Linked DNA regions of Bombyx mori. The protein of the gene in region 2 purifies or fractionates together with the protein of the main gene of each other region. This does not show direct contact. Links are inferred from orthologs where the notes say so. Each region holds a gene or a part of one and is shown on either strand. Other genes may lie near its edges. The genes, in order: ribonuclease P protein subunit p25-like protein and inhibitor of Bruton tyrosine kinase.

Region 1 (12,449 bases), on a different chromosome or scaffold from region 2:
GTGCAACCGACGGTGCATTGAGAACAAAAATAAAAAAATAATATATAACTAAAACTTGAATACATTTAATTACTTATGATTAATTTATATTTACTTGGGACTTCTAAATCTGCGACAGATTTTTCCAGTAAGTTGTGAGACAATTATAAAAAACATCTATTTCATCACTTAAAATTGTCGGAGACCGCGCTACCGTGGACATTATCGTAGTCCCAAAGGATTATGTTTAAGGGAGAGTAAGCACCTAAATTCAAACGAGCGGGCTTTCTTTAAAAAAAAAATATCTTATAAAAGCGAGTTTATATTTCTTCGTTCTTGGTAAGTACTTAGAGGCTGATATTTTTATGTAGATTAAGAGATTAGGTGTGTCGATTATTCTATGGATTAATCAGATCTTTTTTGCCACGTACCATCCGGCTATGGAATGAGCTCCCCTCCACGGTGTTTCCGGAGGGCTATGACATGTCTTTCTTCAAACGAGGCTTGTGGGGAGCATTAAACGGTAGGCAGTGGCTTGGCTCTGCCCCTGGGATTGCTAACGTCCATGAGCGACGGTAACAATTCTCCATCAGGTGGACCGTAAGCTCGTCTGCCTATACGGCAATAATAAGTTAAGTTAAATTGCTTAGCTATTTCAACCAAAGACTTATTCCCAATTTCATAGGCTTCTTTTGTTGTCTTTAATATCAAGGGATCATATCTCTTATAAGGCTTTGCACTCTTTGATACGTACACGCAGAAGATATATCTATAAATAGAAAACAATACGTAACTGATAATATAAATATTTGCCAAACAATAAAATAACACTGCATTGATAATTTTGAATAAATTTTCTAGACAAAAACATCATGAATAAACCAGATTCCTACCAACACATTTAAAAAAGATTGTAATAACTACGTAGACAACCCTACAAACCTGTACCTATTTATACTTAGGTCGCTCCCATTTAACTTATTCTCATCCCAAGTGACCCCTTTTTCGTTGTTATTTGTACCTGAGACATCCCCATTATTTCCAAAAACAACAAATTTTTACATGTATTTTTATATTATCAAAAAACATTAAAACCAATAACAACTGAGTTTTACCTATAATATATATGATGGTCCAAACACTAAACGTTTATAAATCACAGTCGTCTTCTATTATTATCAAATAAATAAAAGAGAGCAAAGTTTCTAGCACTAAAATAATTACCACCACAAGAAGTTAATTTGAAATGCGATTTTTTATAAGTTAGCCTCTATTATCATGCATATTCAGAGATGTTTTGTAAAGTTTCAAGATTCTACTATTACACTATAAAAAATGGAAGATTTTGCAACGGTTTAAAAATTAATATTGAGCGTCGAAAGATTTCCTGGTTTTGTCCCCATTCACCTCTCAATCCCTAGTCACCTCATTTTACGGTACTTTCTTCTGGGAGTCACTATTTTTAATCCAAAGTAATGAAAAATACAGGTGAATGAAGTTAGCCCCTCAAAAAAATTTTTTTTTTCTATTTTATACTTCTTTTCTATTAATTCGTTTGTTCATCACTTGTTCTTGATTGTTCACTGTTAATAATTGTTTGTTCTGCATTTATTTATTTAAAAAAAATATTTAAAAATATATGTACAAGTTAGCCCCTCGATTGCAATTTTTAATATTTTTTCGTCCTTAATGACTCGTAAATATTCATTTTCGATTGTTCTTATATAAAACACGTTTGTTCTCTTTCGAAATTACTCGTTTTTTGTTTAATTTACTATTTGTATTAGTTGAATAAATGTATGCAAAATATGTGTACTGCGCATGCGTCAACTATAATGCCTAAACTTTCTACGCGGTTTTAATCGTGAAAAAAAAAACAAATATAAATCCTGAAGGAGCAATTAATTGGTATAAGTTTAATTAAAAAAATTAAAAAATAAATAAATGAAATAATGTACATTGGCGTAAAGTTAGACCAAATACATTTTTTCCATCCTCCTACCTATCGTTATGAAGGTATAAAAAAGATAGGGAGTTCACATAGGTAATATAAACAAATAAGTAAATAATATGTTCATTATTTATCTTTCAAGAGATAATGTAGGTATACATTATAATAACTTTTTTACACAGTCGAAATTATATTCCTAACATTAGTAAAATAAAATTTTTTTTTTTATAGGTTATGTATTGAAAGTGTTGGAAAATTATTTCATGTTTTAGCTGGAAAACCACATTGAGAATTATATGCAATACAAGATAATGGGCTCCATCAAATGAATTCGAATGAAACCAAACTGTTTACCATCCAAATTCGATTGTCGGGCAGATAGAAAACGAAAATTCACTCAAAGTGAACCTCGGCCTGCATTTGTGAAACGGCAAAGACTCATTATTGTCAAGGAGATTGAAGAGACGACTAAAAATGAGATGTGTTATATTATTATACCTTTGCCATCTTGTAGTCAAGGTAGGTGTAACTGTCAATAATTAGTAACACTCACAGATCTCATAATCAAATAACAATATCAGAAAAAACGAGAATAGTTAGTTAGTTAGTGGAAGTAGCTAAAATGGGCAAGTGGACCTCAGTTCCTATTACATAAGGTACTCGGAAGTTTGTGATAATGAAAATTTATCACAGTGTAATATCACTTACTTACTTTAACAGTGAAGGAAAACATTGTGATAAAACCTGCACACCTAAATGTGCTTAGGATTTTCTTATGTGTGTAATCCACCAACCAGCACTAGGCCAGCGTGGTGGACTAAGGCCTAAAAACCCTCTCAATGGTAGTGGAGGCCAGTGTCCAGCAAGGGAATATATTATATGGGCTGATGATTATGACTAGGAAGTTACATACTACTACTACTACTACTACTACAGTACACATATAATCCTATATATTTTTTAGGAATATAATTTCGACTGTGTAAAAAAGTTATTAAAATGTATACCTACATTATCTCTTGAAAGATAAATAATGAACATATTATCGATAGGTAGGAGGATGGAAAAATATATTTGGTCTAACTTTACGCCAATGTACATTATTTCATTTATTTATTTTTTTATTTTTTTAATTAAACTGTATACCAATTAATTGCTCCTTCAGGATTTATATTTGTTTTTCTTTTCACGATTAAAACCGCGTAGAAAGTTTAGGCATTATAGTTGACGCATGCGCAGTATACATATTTTGCATACATTTATTCAACTAATACAAATAGTAAATTAAACAAAAAACGAGTAATTTCGAAAGAGAACAAACGTGTTTTATATAAGAACAATCGAAAATGAATATTTACGAGTCATTAAGGACGAAAAAATATTAAAAATTGCAATCGAGGGGCTAACTTGTACATATATTTTTAATAATTTTTTTAAAATAAATAAATGTGGGACAAACAATTATTAACAGTGAACAATCAAGAACAAATGATGACCAAACGAATTAATAGAAAATAAGTAGAAAACAGGACAGAAAATTTTTTTTTAGGGGCTAACTTCAGTCACCTGAAAAATATTCGGTTCTCAAATATTAAGCGTATAATCTATGATTCGGAGTCCTCTGTCCTCTCTCTCATATTATGAAAGGATTTTTTTTGGCTAAAGCTAAAGTTTCTTATAATTCTAAAATATAAATAATAGTGGTAGAGGTGAAGCATAATTCAAATAAGTGCCGTCGTAACTATCAGAGGCTTGTTAACATTCGAACCAGTATAGACAAACAAAAGTATCTTGTCGCCATTCCACCAAAAGAAATGACCGACGGAGTTCAAATACTCCGACGCAATCGACCCGGCACCAAAGCCAAGGTATGCACAGCAAATGTAACTGAATTAAAACAGGTATTGTGGCGTTACTTATGTGCCACCATCATATATCAATTAAAATTATTTCAGGATTAAACCCTAAAAGTAGTTTCTATTGTGTTTATTATTTTAATTAAGACTCGCGAATATCGAAGAATATTCTAAATTACAATCATTGTTCTAATCAGGACTTCTGTCGCTGGCCTGATGAACCCTTTGAAGAAATGGATAGCACATTGGCTGTTCAACAATTTATTCAACAAACTATTCGACGTGACCCTTCGAATCTCGAAGCTATTTTGAAGATGCCAGAGGTGTTGGATGAAGGTGTTTGGAAGTATGAACATCTAAGGTATTTTTCTTGTGTTTATTTATAACTTACAGCTTGTTCTAATGTAATAGAATATATTCTATCATCTTGCTGCTGAAAGAACATGTTACACTGTTAAGATGTAATTTGGATTTACTTATAGTGTTTGGACTAAATTATATTTGATCAATATAATTATATTGTTAACCTTCTCTCAATGGCTGAACTTGTAGTTATTTTAAGTTAACTAACAGTGTAGTAAAGATTTTTTTATCAATTTTACTAGATGTTACATATTTACTATACATTTTTGTGTATGTATTTGCAATTTAATATAATTTTCATTCTACCTACCACTATTTACTCTGCACTACCTTTGGTTGACTGGTCGAGTATGCCTTAGGCATTTAGTCCACCTTTGTAAATGTTACATGAAGTGTAATAAATAAATAACATATTTTACAGACAATTTTGTATGGAGCTCAATGGATTGGCTGTGCGCCTACAAAATGAATGCAAACCTGAAACATGTACACAAATGACTGCAACAGAACAGTGGATATTTCTGTGTGCAGCACATAAAACTCCTAAAGAATGTCCAGCCATTGATTACACACGGCACACTCTAGATGGAGCAGCTTGCTTGTTGAATAGCAATAAATACTTTCCAAGCAGGTTTAAAATTTATATATTCTTATAATATTATACAAACCAAATGTTCTTTAATACAGTTAAATAAAACATTAATTAATTTTTTTTAGGGTGAACATCAAGGATTCATCAATTGCCAAGTTGGGATCTGTTTGTAGAAGGGTTTACAGGATCTTCTCACATGCATACTTTCATCATCGTTCAATTTATGATGCATTTGAAAGAGAAACTCATTTATGCAAGAGATTCACATATTTTGTAACAAAATACCCAATAATACCTCAAGAAATTCTAATTTTACCTAAACTTGATGATGAAGTACCAGCTGGTGAATCAGAAGCTTGAAATTTGTTTAAACAATTACAATTTAAACATTTCTCTGATGGAAAACAACATTTAAATTGAATTTATTTATTTACATACTTGTGTTTCTTCCACTACCAAGGTTAAATTATATATTTAAATTTAGTGTGAAAAATTGTGTACACCAATATAAATTAAATTATTTATATGCATTAACACAATACAATGTTCATTCTACATAGGTTTATGGTATTGATAGATCTGTAAATCAAGTATAAATAAAATGTGCACAAACATTCATTTATTTGCCAATTTCACTTATTGGATTCACACCTTTTATTACAAATATACACATAAATAATATCACAAAAAACATTGTGTCTATTATTGTTGAAGAAATAAATATTTTATTACAGGATAGTAATAGAAATTCATAGGAATTAATAGTTCACAGAAAAATATTTAATTTTTGCTATTTTGAATCTGCTTGAATACCTTTTTTCGTTTTGAGTGTAGTTGCTGTTTTTTATTTGGTTGATTCTCATTTTGTTCCCAAAACTTTTTTCCATTTATTGATTGACAACTAAAAGAGAATACAATTTGTGATTATTTACATAACCTACATACTTTGTCAGATTAATAATAGAGAAATAAATACTAAAATATTGCAGGAAATGAATTAGGTTTAATATAATAGATGGTGAGATTTTTGTGATTTGATTTTTCATCTAGTTTTGCCTATTTGCATAAAATAATATTTAAAGATAAATTAACAAATGGTAATAGTTACATATATCTAAAGGAAAGCTTAATTCAACAAAGATGATATACTTATTATTGTTTCGGTAATAAAATGAATATAAAAATGTGTTAAAATGTATATACAAGACTTGTTATGACAATCAATGTATGTAAAAGGCATACAAATTGAAGAAGGCTATTAATCACATATACTTGAAATTATATGTACTCCTAAATACCCATATGCAATGCCAGACTTTTAAAAAACACCAAGTTGCATAGGACAGCCTATCTATCTCTTAATCTAACTAGCTTACTATGACTCTGCAATGATCATCCTGCCTGTTCCAACAGCATAGCTGTCATTAGAATAAAGATATTCTATTGGTAATTAGTAAATAATATAAAATACGGCACATGAGAAGCAAAAATGAACTTCTTAATTTTCAGATAATGGCCCACAGACTTATATACATTGCAAGGCACATATTTATGGCAACAGGCAATAGTTATTATGGACACAAATTGAAAATGAAATAACTCACCCAAGTTGATTAAAATCTTTCAAAGGTTCACTTGTTAAGAGAATATGAATAGCAGGTATTTGGCGTTTAACTACTAACGTTTCTAAGCCTTCAATTTTAGGCTCCCAGTGTTCTTCTACTCTAAAGGGAAAAATCGATGTTTAATTAGAAAATAATGAGATTTTTTTATTTAAACAGATAATGATTTATCATACATTTGGTACAGTAGTTTGGTCACTTGGTGCTGAATAGAAAATTGCCTTTTTATAATTTCTGCACAAGATATTGTTTTGGAGATAGCTGCACCAACACCGCTCCAAACAACTGCTGTTGCTGTTTTATCTTCTAGTATGCCGGTTACGTGGTTTAGGAGGTTTGACATCTTACTTCCTCCTCTGACCTGTATCAAATAAGTAAATAATAATGTATATATAATTATAATTTCTTTATTTACTACATAAACTCTTAAATCATGACCTAGAATACTATTTACATATTTAACAAACTTAGAGATTACGCAGATGGCATCAACAATATAAAATTAACCAATGATCTTCACACTAGGCATAGCGTGTATCGTGAGGACCAAAATGCGATTTACGATGTATATAATTGACCTCAAAACGACATCACTATTATTAATAATTATTACGCTCAAAAACATGCGTTAGAAGATTTAACATATAAGATAATAAAAAAATTTGAGTATTAAAAATAACACATCAAATAATTACTCATATGTGGGGAGCGTAGACATAAACAATTATAAAATAAATTAATAAGAAAAAATAAACAAAAAGATACAAAATTAAAAAATCTACTGCTATTTCTTGTTTTTAATTAAGTTCTCTGTGTCCATAGAGTTCAATGTAAGCAACCATTTTTTCACTAGTGGTTTAGCTTGCCTGACCGTTTTGTGTTTTAGGTTTTCATTACAATGTCTGATTTAAATAAATTAATATTAAACACCCTAACCATCAAGTTTGACTCTTTTTTAATTAGAGTTTGCGATGTACCTGCATCCAAAGGAAATTATCAGGTAAGCCTTCAATGGGAATTTTATCTCGTTCAAACTCCTGTTCAACATTTTTGCCTTTTGTATAATTTTCCATTAGTGGTGATAATTTATACACAATACATTTATTATGTATGATATCTGAGGTTAAATCGTTGTGTTGAGGTTATATTTACGATTGTTTGTTTGTTTGAATTCGTCCATTAGACAGGCAAAGGGAACAAAGTTCATACTGCAAAATCTTTTGTAACAAATGCTGAAGCCTGTCGCATGAAAAGTGAAATGGACGGAAATTAAATTAAATTAAAAGAAGTGAGGAATTTTTGGGCGAGAAAGCGAGATACAATTTTTTTTACTAATTTAATATTTCTTGGAGTTTAAGCGTAGCATAGTGGTGGCTTGTTAACCGCTTACGATCTGTGAACGTGCAGAATACTGCAGAAGTGTAGGATAAGGTGTTTAAAGTCGTCGTGGTCTAAAGGATAAGACGTCCGATGCATTCGTATCTAGCGATGCAACGGTGTTCGAATCCCGCAGCCGGGTACCAATTTTTCTAATGAAATACGTACTTAACAAATGTTCACGATTGACTTCCACGGGGAAGGAAATAACATCGTGTAAAAAAATCAGACCCGTAAAATTATAATTTACATAATTATTGGTGGTAGGACGTCTTGTGAGTCTGCACAGGTAGGTACCATCACCCTGCCTATTTCTGCCATGAACCAGTAATGCGTTTCGGTTTGAAAGGTGACAAAGTCATTGTACTGTTGATGACCAACTGAGACTTTAGAAATAACATCGTGTAATAAAAATCAAACCCGTAAAATTATAATTTGCGTAATTACTGGTGGTAGGACCACTTGTGAGTCCGCACGTACTGTAGGCGCGCGAGTTCATGTCCATCCTGAGAAATACGGTAGTGCTGTGACCTAATTAAATATGGTAATGTAGATAATAACTACCGATTTAGTCAACAGCTGTCGATTTGGTTTAATGTAACTTAAGGTAATTTTGCAATTTATGGAATAAAATAAATGTGATAAGTAATTACTTGTTTATTTCTAATAGAGAAAAATATTTTTTAAATTCCTGTTCAATCACTATCGAATGAAAAGACAACCGACAGATCAGAGTCGGAATCAGCATGTATCTTTATCTCTATCTGAACTTATTGGAAGCGGAGTAGTCATGGTTAAATAACACAATAGCGTTAGCGTAAATTTTCGATATCGTTATCGTGCGTTACAACCGTGACGGACAACACTCGACGTCAGACAAATGCGGGGAGACGGGTGAAGGTGGGGCGGGCTGCCACCGCGCGTCTCCTCTGGCCTCGATGGACATTAACTCGCGCGCATACAGTGTACACACTACCTAAATGCGCCACCCACCTCGAGATATAAGTTCTGTGGTCTCAGTATGGTTACAACGGCTGCCCTACCCTTCAAACCGAAACGCATTACTACTTCACGGCAGAAATAGGCAGGGTGGTGGTACCCACCCGCGCGGACTCAGAAGAGGTCCTATCACCAATAATTACGCAAATTATAATTTTGCGGGTTTCATTTTTATTACACGATGTTATTCCTTCACCGTGAAAGTCAATCGTGAACATTTGTTGAGTACGTATTTCATTAGAAATATTGGTACCCGCCTGAGATTCGAACACCGGTGCATCGCTCAGCACGAATGCACCGGACGTCTTATCCATTAGGCCACGACGACTTCAATAGGCCAAGACGAATTCGTTGGTTCTTCGTGGTTCTTCTGGTTCCTTCAAAAGGATGACTGAAGTCTCAGTAAATCTCCACTATTTTACTGGGACGTTATGACATGTCATTTAATCTCGTTTCCTCCGATTTCATCTCAATAGATTAGTATCTCAAATAAAATACGATACGTCGTCGTCGTGGCTTAAAGAATAAGACGCCCAGTCCATGCGTATCAAGCGATGCATCGATTCGAATACCGCAGGCAGTTTCCAATTTTTCTAATGAAATACGTACATATCAAATGTTCACGATTGATTTCCACATGGAAGGAAATAACATCGTGTAAAAAAAATCAGACCCGTAAAATTATAATTTACATAATTATTGGTGGTAGGACGTCTTGTGAGTCTGCACAGGTAGGTACCATCACCCTGCCTATTTCTGCCATGAACCAGTAATGCGTTTCGGTTTGAAAGGTGACAAAGTCATTGTACTGTTGATGACCAACTGAGACTTTAGAACTTATGTCTCAAGGTAGGTGGCGGCATTTACGTTGTAGATGTCTATGAGCTCCGGTAACTATTTAATACCAGGTGGGCCGTGAGCTCATCCACTCATCTAAGCTATATAAAAAAAAAACCATTTCATTCTGGGCCATTTTCATATAACGTGTATATTCCTTAATTGAAGATTTTTTATAATCTCGATAGTGGCAGAAATAGCATTTCAAGACGTCAATTGCCATACTGAAAAGAAGAAGAATTTAGGTGACTTAATACAACATCTTAACTATTGGAGAAGATGATCAGAAATAACCTCTCAGTGATGATAGAAATTTTCTGAGAGACTTAATGGATTTTGAAAGAACACGGGAAGCAACTTTGTATATTTTTTTATTAAGGTCGAAGTTTCAAGTGTATGATGGCCATCCTACCATTCAAGCCCGAACCTATGATCGTTTCGTTTCGATCGTTCTCCCAAGAAATAGGCAGGACGGTCGGACAAGATAGTCGAGGGATTAGGTGTATGAAGTGAGTACAAAAGGTACAACGACCATCAAGAATAAGGCCTGGGAACCTCAATTTTACCCTAACCTAACCAAAGTAATTGTGATGAAACGCTAGTTCGACAGTTAATATTATATTTACAATTCTGACTTCGATCTCAAGTCTCAAGATGGTTGGCAGCATTCTCCTTGTGATGACGGCCTACGGACTCAGGTAGCACTTCAACGCCAGGTGAACTTTGATTTCGTTCGCCCATTAATATTGAAGGTTTGACACAATGTCATTCCCTCATCGCGAAAGTCGATCGTGAACATGTGTTAGGTATGTAGTATGTCTAGAAAAATGGATACCTTTCTGTAAATATTTTTTTATACGAGAACACCGGGCGCCTTATCCATAATTAGGTCTTTAAGAGCTAAAAACCAAATTTTTTCAACTCCATTTACTGACCTAGAAACTGTGAAGATATATATATATATGGCTGTAAGATATGGATATATGGTAAGAAAATAATTATTAGATTTGAATTTCCCCTTTTAATACAAATAAGTAAGTAAGTTATCAAAGTAACGCCGACGCACTAATGTTCATAAAAAATATTGTTAGTCTGGATCTTAGGGGATCCTTTAAAATATTTATAAAAGATTATTACCATGCCCAAAATGTGCTTAAAATTTAGAAAATGTACTTAATGTTCTAATAATTATCTAATATATTATTAATATTAGGAAACATATTGTTTTACTAATAAGTGTGCGTAAACCACAAACACTATTTATTTGCATGATTAAAAGATTAAAGGTTATCGAAGGAGTTGTAAGTACAGAGCAATTGCGTTATTTATGTCAGGGCTATCGTACAATAATACCGTTCGAAGTATTTTCCCGTTTTCCAGTTAATTAAGTTTCTATCTAAAAGCACTATGCAGTGTTCTCGAGTTAAAGTAGCGTTTTTATTTTTATCTGTTTTACCATGGACTATTATGGCAGCGAAAAGACCGTTCGTTATGGATGAGCGCTGGGTATGTGCTGTTAAGGTCTCATGTTTTGATTGTTTGAAATTATCCCAATGCTCGTGGTGTGTAAAAGAAAACAAATGTTTCTCAAACGAGTTGTGGGGTAACAAAGGCCTCTGCGTAAACGATACTATCGAATTTACTGATTTTGGACGTAAGTACAAGCTCTTAGGTAAGTTTAGTTAAAGACCTCTTTCGCCTTACTCCAGTTTTTTTTTTTTTTTTTTATATTGCTTAGATGTGTGGACGAGCTCACAGCCCACCTGGTGTTAAGTGGTTACTGGAGCTAATAGACATCAACAACGTAAATGCGCCACACACCTTGAGATATAGTTCTAAGGTCTCAGTATAGTCACAACGGCTGCCCCACCCTTCAAACCGAAACGTATTACTGCTTCACGGCAGAAATAGGCGGAATATTATTATTTTTATTAGTGAAAAAAAAACACCTTTTTTTCAAGTAATAGAAAAAAAACATCATAGCACTGAAATTTCCAGTTTATCATGAAAAAGTTCTTAAATAGATTTTATCACGAATTCCTGTAATAGGATTAATTTACTTAAGCAGTATCAATGTAGGTATTGTGTGCAGGAAAATTTATTACCTACCTAATTGCTCTACTATACCAAAATAATATAAATGGGTTTTTTTTACGCCGTGTTATTTTCGAATACCTATAGAAATATATTAGGTAGGTAGGTATATTAAGAAAGAAAAATGGTTAAGATGAGTGAAGAATGTCTTACTTCGTGAACGTAACCAGGAAGAAGCCGAAAAGGACACATGAGCATATTCTACTCTCTCAAAATCCGGCAGTTCCCATGAAAGCAAAGAACTTTAAAAATAGGACTAATACAAATTGATTTTTTTCAATGTTCATTCATACAGGCACAGGAAAAATCTAAAACGTCGTCCATTTATTTATGTATTTAAAGATTTTTTATTGCATATATGGGTGTACGAACTCACGGATCACATGATGCTAAGTGGCTATTAGAACCCATAGACATTACGATGTCAAAATCGCCACCTATTTCGAGTCGTGAAGTTGATGTCTTAATTGTATTGTATTAAATAAAAGCCGTCCCACTCTTCCTGTGAACGCCTCGCAACAGAAATAGACTGTAATTAGTACCTACCTACCCGTGTGAGTTTATGGGGCTTAGAGTTCGTCATACTATGAGTAATTAAGCCAATTTATATATTTCATGGGTTTGTTAAATTGCACTATGTTATTTCGATGGATGACGTGAAAACGTCTAAAGTAAGTACATATCTTGGTACCTGTCACGAAATTTGAACACCGGCACCGTCGCCGCGTCGTGTCACTTATGCTGGGAGTCGTACAATTTAGGCCACGACTACTAAAATA
Region 2 (12,544 bases):
TTAAATCAAAAATAAAAAGCTTTTTATTATTGGACAATATGATCATTAAGCCTATATAAAATATAATAATAAGGTTATTAATTTTATGAAGAAAACTCTTCGTTTGCACGTAAATTTGTTTTATTTAATGATTATTTAGCCTTATTGGAAAAAACTTAAAAATGCCTTAAAAATCGGTTTTCTGAGAAACAAATCGGTAATAAACCGGAGCCAGAATTTGTAATCGGTTCACATTGCTAGACCACATGTGTATATACATGGGTAGTTCTGGACCGAAGTAGTTCCTGGAACTATATCATTCAATCCGAGTTGTCAAAATTAACATGTGCAGACAGTTCCATTCCAAGTGAACTATTATGCAGGAACGAAAATTAGTTAAGAAGGAACTACGAACGCGTTGAACATGACGGACATGCGGACATGATTAGAGCTTATAGTACTGCGCGGCGTGGCGCGGCGAGTCCACCCGAAAGAGTACCAAGCCGACACGAGTCTACGTAACGAGATAATGCGAATTATTTATGGTGCGAATATGAGGGAGTGTGATGGAGCAAGTTTTTTTTTTTTTATTGCCTCTGTAGGCAGATGAGCGTACGGCCCACCTGATGGTGAGTGGTTACCGTCACCCATGGACTTCAGCAATGCCAGGGGCAGAGCCAAGCCGCTGCCTACCGCTTAATACTCTCCACAAGCTTCGTTTGAAGAGTGCATGCAACTGCGTGTGGAGCTCTTTCATATTACATTTTTATGAATAATGAAGTTATGCTCTACGACCTACGTGTTACAGTCGATAGTTGAATAAATAAAAATGTTTTGCTATGAATTTTGACCTTGACCATGCACCATTCTTACGAGCACTTAACCATTTATTAGAAAATCTTAATTCAAAATTAGAGAATTTTAAAACATTCACCACTATCGCTAGTTTTTTTAGCTACATTACGTAATTCGGTTGCATGTAGGCTACTTTACAAAACTACACTACACATAGGTTCTAGACTTAATGTGTTCGCGGAACTGTTTAGTTTATGTTTTCTGGAACTAGTTCCGACACTCAGAAGAACTATGTCATGTTCAATCCTTTTCAGAACATGATTAGCATATGTCTTGTATTTGCTCAGTCTTGCTCTAGGCATAGACCTATATAGTAGGGACACGACATATTGTTCTATACGTACAATTGCTTATATAAATAGCACCCCTTTTGAAGGCGCACACATAAACATATATCTATCTCGTTCTTATTCAGCACTTTAACTCGCAGGAAAACAATATAACAGTATTTCAGTGCGTACATAAAATGAAACATGAATATACGTAATTATCTCCGTCTCCGTCTAATAAGGCCGAAAATCCGCCATGTTGAGCGCACCAAATGTCATTGTCAGTTCGGCAGTCTGTTTTGGGTTGTACATTAATTATTGACTTTGATATCGATTTAATATGATTGCTTATATAAAATTTCATAATTTATCATGCTTAGAACATACAAAAATAATAATTCAAACGTATTTTATAGGATCTCAAGAAAGTCGATGCAAAAACTATTATCTCGACTCATCCGCAGAACAAAGTCCGATGTGATCATAGAGCAAAAACGAGTTATATAGCTAGGCGAAATAAGGGATACGAACTCTACGGACGTGTGTTTTTGGAATTTTTGTATCTCATTTAGTTTCGGAAATATATAATTGAATAACGTTCTATCTGTCGTTAGCTCCGCATAAAAACGTACGGAGTGATCAAGCGCCGGCCCGCACGGAGCGGCCGCACTGATTCTATGCTTAATCTATATGACGCGCCCGTATAAACAAAATACCCGGTCCTGAACACAGATAAATGCTGTTTGTTACATCGTTTCGGGACGCGGGCCGGGCGCGTGTTCATTTAAGTTAATATGCTAATCTTAAAACTATCGGGAATAACAAAGCAAAAGTGTATACTATTTATTTCAAAGTAACTTACGTTCTATTCTTAGTAAAATCTATGTGCACGTTATCAATGTCCTTATATATCTATATGTCCATGCACTCTATTTATTTGTCTATCAGTCCGGCCGCTGTTCGTTGGACTTGTTGGAGAGAGGGCGTCTTTGTGTCAAGCGCTTAGGTTTTTACTGTTTGATTTTAAATTAATAATGTAACACGTATTTTGCTCGATAAAAGATATTTTTAGACATGTCGCGATCACGGAAAATGTTGAATATGCTTAAGGCTGATACAGAAGACCCTGACCTTAGTTCATCATTTTCTAATGTAGCCGCTGTTCATATGGAGAAAAATGTAAATAATATTAATTTGCCAACTTTTCAGTTGTATTATTTCATAATTTCACACGCTATTAAGTTCTATATAAAAAAATATTATCTATATTGCTTTTTTGTTTCAATAAGTGCTTGTAGTCGATCGATGTTTTTATAAGACGTTTTTTGACGAATAGGTAATGAAACGCATTTTTAATGCAAAAACACAATTGGCGTAATGCATATTCACAGGAGTAATCAATCTTTCTATAATAATTAACTGTTAAAAATAAAAGCGTTATGAAATATTAGGACGATATTTTACGAACACTATTGAACCTCTAAGCGTTCTATGTGAATATGGGACATTTTTTTACGAACTCTGTGACGCGATTTGTTGGTTCGTTAGTAAGATGAGACGTTGTTACTGGGATAATGAAATCAGTTAGGACGTTAATCGTGCAAAAAAGTTGTAAAATATAACGATTTTTTATTTAAATTTTGTTAAATTATTTCTGTATAATTAAATTGTTTTGCAAAACACATAAATATAAATAGTATTTTATAAATTGTCATAAAAATATGAGTTTTTTTAAATTTTCATTTGTAAATGATGATGATACCTGTAAGACATACAAACGTCACCTTTGCCTCCTGGACCAGTAGAAATCAGTCAGGAACTAGCTGATGTATTGGAAAAATGCTACATGAAGATAGTGGGACCAAGGAAATTACCTGCGACAGCTCAGTACCTAATCTCGTGCCTGATGTATCTGCCTTGGATGATTACAGCAACCAACCTAGTATATTTTCTTTGAAAGTGCCTTTAAGTTACGAAAATTTACCACATATACAGCTTGAAGATTTAGAAGATCACCACAGATGTACTCCGCTCAATTTGGAACTGTCAGTACCAGCACTCATGCAATCTCCTACTAATATCCATTCGATCTGCAACACCGTATTCTGCCCTAATCATGTATCATGACCCTGAAAAATACAGCACTAAAGCCATAAAAGAACGCCAGTATCGTGACATTGTCAACTCAAACTTCAATCTAGGTTTTCATACCCCTAGGTTTTCAAACCCCAAAAAGGATTAGTGCGAGGAATGTCACGTTTTTCGATTGAATAAAAATCCAACTGACCAAGAGAAAGAAGCTCTTCAATAACACCAGACAAATAAGAAGGCAAGGCATTTAAAAAGCCTAGATAAAAAAGATGCTGAGGAGTCAAACGGAAACATGGTTACTGCTGTTTGATTTTGAAAAGTTTTACAGTGTCCTCTAACCAATATAAATATATTTTACTATAACAGAAAGCTATCTTCTTTTAACTTTACGGTTTTTGATATAGGTAAAAAGAAGGCCATTTGCTATTTGTGGGATGAATCTGTGGAAAAACGTGGAGCAAACGAGGTAAGCAGTTGCCTCTTAAACTTTATACAGACTAATGTTGAACAAGGGACCAAGGAGTTCCGCTTTTGGTCAGACAATTGTGCTGGCCAAAATTGTAATCGCTTTGTATATTCATTATACATTTATGCCGCAAAAAAGTTCAACATATACACACCGGTTTTTACAGAAAGGGCATACCCAAAATGAGGGGGACAGTATCCACTCTGTCATCAAGAGAGCTTTTCAAACCAAAACTATATATACCCCTCATTAATGGCGTTTATTAGTAAGATGGGCCAAGAATGAAGGAGAACCCTATGTTGTTCGAAACGTAACCCAGGATGACGTATTCGACTTTAAAAGTCTTGTTAATAATAAGGTTTGGATCAAAGACATTCAGTGCAAGAAGATTAACTGGAATAACATCCCAACAAATTTGTTTTTTAAATATGATCTAACTCAACCTGATTATGATATTTTAGTAATTCGTAGTAATACGAGGAACTCGGTACAAGCTGAACTAAAAGCTGCATTTTCTGGACCTATTATGATTCCTGCTGCGAAATATAAAGATTTAATGGATATGTGCCGCTCAGAACTTATTCCCTTAGAGGAACTCCATACTTTAACTCTTTGCCACATCACATAACTGTTACTCTTTCTGAAGAATCGGATGATAATCTATCGGAATAATTTTATCTAGTGTCTGCTTCCTCTTTTTAGAGCTGAATTCTTCCTACTAATTTAGCGAAGCAATGTTAATTATAATATTTAATGTTTGTCTACATGCCATTTCATTGCTATTAAGTATGTGCACCAGTTATAAGTCTAGGTTACTATGTAAGACTGATTGATTAATTATGAAGGCTGATTATTATAGATTAGTGATTAGTAGATTAGTTCTACGATTAGTGAGTAGATAGTTTACTGGTGGTAGGACCTCTTGTGAGTCCGCACGGGTAGGTACCACCACCCCGCCTATTTCTGTCGTGAAGCAGTAATGCGTTTCGGTTTGAAGGGTGGGGCAGCCGTTGTAACTATACTGAGATCTTAGAACTTATATCTCAAGGTGGGTGGCGCATTTACGTTGTAGATGTCTATGGGCTCCAGTAATCACTTAACACCAGGTGGGCTGTGAGCTCGTCCACCCATCTAAGCAATAAAAAAAAACTTTGAGACTGCTGATTTTAATCTTGTTATTATAAAAAAAATAAGTTTTATTATCTTCGTCCGCGTCTGCGTCCTGCAATGTTCTAATTGACACATGAACCTGTAAGTTTTTTGTAATTTTTAGTGTTATGATTGCTGTTTATGATGATTCTTTATACCAGTTTTGAGATTTTTTCACTTAATAAACGATTTTAAATAATTACTATCTTTTTTATTTAGTTATATAGGAGGGCAGTGATGATATGAGGAACGTTATGTTTAAATATTTCAAGGTTGTTATTTACGTAGGACTCATTAGTAGTTAGTAATTCCAAAGAAAACCGACTCATGTTAATATAGAACGTCATTTAATTTACATGTGTCCATAAAACAACGTGTAACGTTCACTAAGGACCCTCGCTGTTTTGCCATAAAACGTCTTATGTTAATATAGAACTCACTATCTCCAGAAATAAAAGAATAACAGTTATAAACTACACAGTATTTAACAAAGCTGAGACGTAGTAACAACATACCAAAAAATTTAAACAACAAGTCGCACCGTTTAAAAGTTACACAAGTCAACAACTTCTTTAACCTCTACTGAAAACTATCAATCCTACAGATAGGACTATATTCTGCGGATGAGTCGATCTATATATATTTAAATCCATTATGGAGCCCTCATCCGAAAAATCGGACACCATTTTTCGGTCGGAATCTATTGATCATGACACTAATCATAAATACCTCTTTAAAATATATCATCAAAACATATTTAGACATTCTGTTTAGATATTTCGGGAAAAAGGCTACCGACAAAATCTCTTCGGAACTATTTAAATAAAATAGTTTTACTCCGCAGTGAGTAAAACACTATTATAAATTCGTTAAATATTTAATAATTAAGTGATTTTAGAGAGGAAGTCACAAGGAATGACGTTTTTAATAATGAATAAATAGGTAGGTGTAGGTAGACGTAGGTGTTTTTTTTTTCACGCGGTCCCTTGATAAGTTTAAAATTTGAATCACTCTCAAGTGAAAGTGATTCAAATGGTGCGGCGCACTTTCCTTGGGGTGCGCTGCGGTAGTGTGTTACGGACTTTAGAGTCAGCAAAACAATTAAAATAGATTGTAATAGTCTAAGAATAACACGTACTCAAAATACGAGAACATTTAGCATGCTAGAAATGGGCAAATGGCACTGTACTACGCCATATCTTTATGTTTTGCGAGAAATGACAACTTTATAAAATCAGTGTAGCAACTTTTAAAAATCATAATAACGTTTACTTGGCAAATTCGAAGGACGAACTTGTCTTAGATTTCACCCATCTAAATCATATCATATTTGCACATAACAATATACCTACTTACTTCCCATTAAAGTATAAATTCTACAAATAAATAATACTCAACAATATTTAAAATAAAATGAGCCAAGAACGTTTATCGATAAAACCTGATAACATTGAAATTTTTGTCAGCACTAAAACCGCCATGTTTTGTGGTCAGATGACGTCACAGTGGCACGAATTTTTGGTTGACGTTTCGTTTCCTAAGTTTCGCCTTTGGACAGTGCAATCGCCGAATTCCGGGTTCAACAAGATATGCGTCAACTGTTGAGTCGCCGAATTCCGGGTGTGAATAGTCCGGAGAGTTTGGACTCATAACAGATATTCTACTATTATGTTTTATTCTTTCTAACACATTTAAAACTGTACCTAATGAATGGACCTTCTCTCTCGCACACACTTCAACTTCATGTTAGATGTAGAGAAAATTAGTTTTTTGGATCTGGATCTCGGTTTTTTCGGACTGTTGATTCACCGAATTCCGGGTGCAGCAGTTGGCGTCAAAGTCGTCATTTTGAATGTTACTGTCCAAAAAAGCTGTCAGTGCTCTAGGCAGTCGGTTGGAAGCATAGATAATAGATTTTTTTAAAGGGATTTTATGACCTGGTAGCTAAAACCTTTAGGTCAAGTATTATTTTAATATTCTAAATTTTTATGAAAAATTATAATGTGAAGTGAAATGAAATGAAGTTGATTAATATGAAACATGGTATGAAGTGAAGTGAAATGAAATGAGATGTGATGATAAGGTATGAAATATAATCGCAGTATAATGCTGGTCATTTACTGAGACTTTTTCAGTGAACTTTTTGGAAGATCCCAACGAGTTACGTTCAGCGGCTTTGTTTGATTTTCCCACATTTGTTCACTTTCAAAGATACTAAACAGTTAACTAACATTTAACCGTTATTACACATTTAAGATGTCAAGGAGCAAGCGCAAGACAGAGTAAAGTGGAGACAACTTGTGAGGGCCCTATGTACCAGCGGGGTACCCTAGGACAACAACAACAACAACAACAACACATTTAAACCTGAAGAAACACTAAATAGACAAAATAAAACAAACCACACGACTTCACTGCTCGCGTTCCCGCCGAAAAGTCCAAGTCGTATATTTGTTGGAGAAGAAACGCAGAGTAAAATAAAATGAGAAATGTCAAAAAAGTCAATTGTCATGTCAATTTGGATAAAATTTGTTGGAACAAAAGAGAAATAATATTTTGGACTGATTGTTACGTAAAAGTCGCAATGTTCAAAGCTATCTGCCAGACAGCAGGTTTATCGAAGAACCATTTATCAAGGTGAGCTACATGCTCTTATCCCATCTAAGATTGAACAAGCACCCAAACCCATACCAAATTATTTTTGTCAAAATTACATAGGAAGAAATCCATTTCTTTTCAGGTTTAAAGGTGCGTTTTCAACGTACAATGTTCGCTATGCTGATGCAGATCCAACATGCCGAAAGGAAGCACCTAAAATTGAAAACGAATCCGTTTTGGCCTTGCCAGAAGAAGCTCGGCATCAAAAAGCACTGGATTCCACTATTGTAGTGCCAACGAAGGTAATTTACAAGTCTTTCTCGATGAGCTCTATGCTGGTAGATGCTATTTTAAAAATAAAATGTCTTGAACATTTATTAACAAAAATGATGATGAAACTGCTCTCTATAATGTTTTACATTCTTTAAAAAATGTCTAAAAAGAATGTTTCATGGAATATGCAGTGTATAGGTCAAAGAGACCAAAATATCAGCTAGCGAAATTTAATAAATAAAATTTAGATAAAGCAAACTCATCAAACATTAAGTCAATGATAAAATCTGAATATATTCCTATGGTTATATTTCATAGAAACGAATACAGAGAAAGTGAATGCCTTTAAATAATATAAAATAAAATTTACTCGCCTAACGTTTGAAGATAATGATTAATTAGTCTAGAATTTACACTATTTTGGCAAAAATTTGCGGTAGGCAGCGGCTTGGCTCTGCCCTTGGCATTGCTGAAGTCCATGGGCGACGGTAACCACTCACCATCAGGTGGGCCGTATGTTCGTCTGCCTACAAAGGCAATAAAAAAAAAAAAAAAATTTAAGCAAAACAGCAGTGTCAATTTGGATTTGGTCACAAGTTTGCCTTTGTATAATTATATCAAACTAAATATATTTTACAATTCTAGGCAGATCTCAGCCCCATTTTAGGAGTCCCAGAAGAACATATTAAGACTCGCCGTGTACGTATTTATCAACCTGCGAAGAATGCAATGCAGAGTGGTACAAATAATATCCATCATTGGGAAATGGAATTTGACACTCGTCAACGTTGGGAAAATCCTCTGATGGGCTGGACATCCTCAGGAGATCCTCTGTCCAATGTCAAAATTCAGTTCAGATCTCCTGATGAAGCAATTGAGCATTGTGAGAAAAATGGATGGATGTGGTACATTGATGTTCCTAAAACCGAGAAGGATTTCAAACCTAAAAGCTATGGGTTAAATTTCGCTTGGAATCGTCGTACTCGAGTCTCCACTAAGTAAAACGGTAGTTCAAAAATGTTAATTTTATTATATTAAATAATGTTATGAAAAAGTAGACTTTGATTTCAGTGATACTACTTATGTTAATTAAAATAATTTGTATAGTAATGAAATACAGCAATTTGTAAAAGTGCTTTGATTATTTTTGTTTCAGATTTAAATCTTACATTTTTATCTATCTGATGATTTTCAAGTGAAGTAAAATGGCCCTTAATAATATTATGGTTCTCCACAAAACTTGCATTCGTCCAGTTATGACCTATGCAAGTATAGTGTTCGCTCATGCGGTCTGCACTAATTTAAAACCTCTTGAAACTATTCAATTCTGGTTCTATAGGATAGATTGGTAGGCAGCGGCTTGGCTTTGCCCCTGGCATTGCTGAAGTCCATGGGCAACGGTAACAACTGACCATCAGGTGGGCCGTATGCTCGTCTGCCTACAAGGGAAATAAAAAAAATAAAAAGCTGTCCAAGCACCGTGGTTTGTGAGGAACGTGAACCTTCACGATAACCTGGAGTTGGACTCTATTAGTAAGTATATACAGTCGATATTATCAGCGCACCATTCCGAGAAAGCGTCGCGGTACGAAAACTCTCTTGTCCTGGCCGCCGGTAACTACACACCCGACCCTACAGACCCAATGGCAAACAATGGCCGTCCTCCTAAACGTCATTTCGTATCCGCCCGATCCACTATCGGTGCTATTAGGTACCTCAAGCACCAGTCAACGTTCTCGTCGAACCTGTCCCTTGCGATGCGAAGGATTCGGCCAGCAAATTAACCCACAGACATCCCACTGAGTTTATCACCGCATCTTCTCAGTGGGTCACGTTTCCAATCTTTTATTTATTTGTTTCTAATGCTTAGGTTTGTGGACGAGCTCACAGCCCACCTGGTGTTAAGTGGTTACCGGAGCCCATAGACATCCACAACGTAAATGCCGCCACCCACCTTGAGATATGAGTTCTAAGGTCTCAGTATAGTATCAATGGCTGCCCCACCCTCTTAAACGTAATGCATTACTGCTTCATGGCAGAAATAGGCAGGGTGGTGGTACCCACCCGTGCGGACTCACAAGAGGTCCTACCATATTTTTTATTATTTTTTATTGCTTAGATGGGTGGACGAGCTCACAGCCCACCTGGTGTTATGTGGTTACTGGAGCCAATAGACATCTACAATGTAAATGTGCCACCCACCTTGAGATATGAGTTCTAAGGTCTCAAGTATAGTTACAACGGCTGCCCCAACCTTCAAACCGAAACGCATTATTGCTTCACGGCAGAAATAGGCAGGGCGGTGGTACCTACCCGCGCGGACTCACAAGAGGTCCAACCACCAGTAATTACGCAAATTATAATCTTGCGTGTTTGATTTTTATTACACGATGTTATTCCTTCACCGTGGAAGTCCATCGTGAACATTTGTTGAGTACGTATTTCATTACAAAAATTGGTACTTGCCAGCGGGATTCGAACACCGGTGCATCGCTAGATACGAATGCATCGGACGTCTTGTCCTTTAGGTCATGATGACTTCGAAGATCCGGTGGTAGATTCTGCCAAGCACAGCTTTTACTAGTGCTAGTGTTTTATTGTTTTAAACTAATTAAGTTTTTTAAACTATAAAACAATTTTTTTTATTCTAAATTGATTAATATCTCAAATTAATCAACTTCATTTCGTTTTCTTCATATAATTTCTAAAAATAAAAGATCACACAATGAACTAAAAAAAATTTTAAACTTGACACTGATAACCATAGTTCATCATCATCATTATCTTGCCCTTCTCCCAGTTACCTGGGATCGGCGCAACGTGTTTTCTCCTTCCATACTCTTCTATCATATACCATTTCTTCGCTCACTCCCCTCTTACCCATATCGTCTTACACGCAATACATCTATTTCTTCTTAGGTCTACCTCTTCCTCTATATCCTTCCACCTTCATAGTTAACATTTTCTGACCAATCTCATCTCATCACATGTCCATACCATCCCAAACGCGCACTTCTCAGCTTCTCTGTCACAGGTGCCACTTTCAGACTTCCTCTAACATATTCATTCCGTATTCTATCCATTCTCGTTACTCCACACATCCATCGCAACATTCGCATCTCTGCTGCATGCAATCGCCTTTCATCATCATAGTTATTAACATCTATTTTATAGGACTGGTAACGTTCAAAAATAGAAGAAGAATAAATGGATTGTTTTTTTTAAGCAGATTTAGAATAATGAAACTTCAGAAAGTACTATAATTTTATTTAATCATAATTTCAACATGGTTAATTCTTACTTTGTACCTTAGAAGGAAATCATATTTCGCCAGTATCACTCAAAACTTTTTATTTACATATCATACAATTGAACATATTATTATTATATTACACAAATCGAATCATTACAGACACATGCTTCGAACAATTTTACATGTACATTGTACATAATAAATTATAAATTTATTTAAAAAGTAATTATTGACCTCCTTAAAACTGATGTAAGTATAAATAGATGCAAAATTATTTCATACTCTTTAATATTTACAAAGTAACGAACAATAACGAGAATTCTACGTATTCTTAGAACATTTTACGCTTTCTTTTTTTTTAATTATTAAGTATCTTAGTGAATGGATAATTTGTTTAGCAATTGTGTAAATGTAAAGCCTAGTGGTAAAATACAAAACATTTCATTTTCTTAAGTACTAAAAATCGAAACAGGCTTCGAAAAACTACATGAAAAATAACGGTAAAGTATTTTTTGGTCTAGAGAATTTTCGAGATAAAATTGAAGAGGTACTAATAGACAATATTTTGGTCCTTGCTAAATAGAAATAGTGTTAATATGAATTTTAAAATTTAAGAATTAGGAAATCTATTTTTAAAATTTGTTCTAGGCATGCTGATACCGGAACTACTATTATCTACTTCAAACAAGCACTTTGTGCCAACATACAAACAATTTTAAAAATATACAGAACGCTGCCAACTATTGTAAACTTTTCTGCCATTGAAATAAATGAAATAATTTTGGACGGGCCAAATATGAAAAAAAATTAACCCATACAGATAATTAAACAAAAATATATATTCAGAACTAGGGCCAATAAGCCTGCGTTAAAATATTTCACGTAAAAAGATGAAAAATATTGTCTTTTACACAAGAAATACTTAACATCAATAACTATGTAAAATAAATAAACTTATTAGTCTACTAATTTTTTTTGTGCGATTTTATTTTTATTTATTATATAAAATTGGCTAAATTGTATGTATACTATTTAAAGCAACCCGTAGTTTTAAATGTAATGAGAGCTCTGAAAACTTTTAGGCTGATCAAACATATTAATTAATATGACTTATGCGAACGTAGTATTCAATCACGCGGCTTGCAGTTACGTAGATTCGAAAATTTTCAATCTCGTTTCTTTACAAGAGCCGTCGGAGCTTTCGGAGAAGAATCTAGATTTTCACGACGGTCTAAGTTCAGAACCCATTTATAAGAGTAGACAGCATAGGAACGCTATTTCGCAAGAGCTATGCGGCATGATAACCTTCTCATCGTGGTCGCCTAAGTACAGCCCTGATCCAGCTCACGCAGAAACATACTACCATCAATGCCCTAGACATGGTTTGATGGATCTATTCTCGGTGCTCGATCCGATGGTAGATGCACTCGCCAAGCATTGTTTAGCTACTGGACCATGTTCAGAGGCGTTGTGGTGGTTGTTAGCAATCTTGGCCGTACCGGCTGAGCGATTAGGTTTATTCACCAGTCTTGGTGAAACTGGAAAGGCATGCGGGCCACCAGCAATCCATCATAAAAAAAGACAACTTTAAATCTATTCTAATTGAACAGT

The links.
Region 1: the proteins of inhibitor of Bruton tyrosine kinase (region 2) and ribonuclease P protein subunit p25-like protein purify together in Homo sapiens (co-immunoprecipitation; 3 studies listed by BioGRID and IntAct, with this or other methods). This does not show direct contact. The link is inferred for Bombyx mori from reciprocal best matches to the Homo sapiens genes IBTK and RPP25L.

What each region holds. Positions count from the first base shown.
Region 1 is NC_085116.1:9,660,056-9,672,504, reverse strand, and holds ribonuclease P protein subunit p25-like protein, read right to left. Parts: upstream 7,476-12,449; 5' UTR 7,437-7,475; coding exon 7,341-7,436; exon of another isoform or gene 6,725-7,340; coding exon 6,540-6,724; exon of another isoform or gene 6,523-6,539; intron 6,466-6,522; coding exon 6,346-6,465; intron 5,760-6,345; exon of another isoform or gene 5,643-5,759; coding exon 5,522-5,642; 3' UTR 5,346-5,521; downstream 1-5,345. Other genes in the region: preimplantation protein, read left to right, coding at 3,745-3,798, 3,984-4,147, 4,571-4,780, 4,867-5,101. UniProt on the Homo sapiens protein: May be a component of ribonuclease P or MRP.
Region 2 is NC_085125.1:10,538,096-10,550,639, reverse strand, and holds the start of inhibitor of Bruton tyrosine kinase, read right to left. Parts: upstream 6,663-12,544; 5' UTR 6,513-6,662; intron 1-6,512. Other genes in the region: NADH dehydrogenase [ubiquinone] iron-sulfur protein 4, mitochondrial, read left to right, coding at 7,292-7,446, 7,550-7,709, 8,326-8,682. UniProt on the Homo sapiens protein: Acts as an inhibitor of BTK tyrosine kinase activity, thereby playing a role in B-cell development. Down-regulates BTK kinase activity, leading to interference with BTK-mediated calcium mobilization and NF-kappa-B-driven transcription.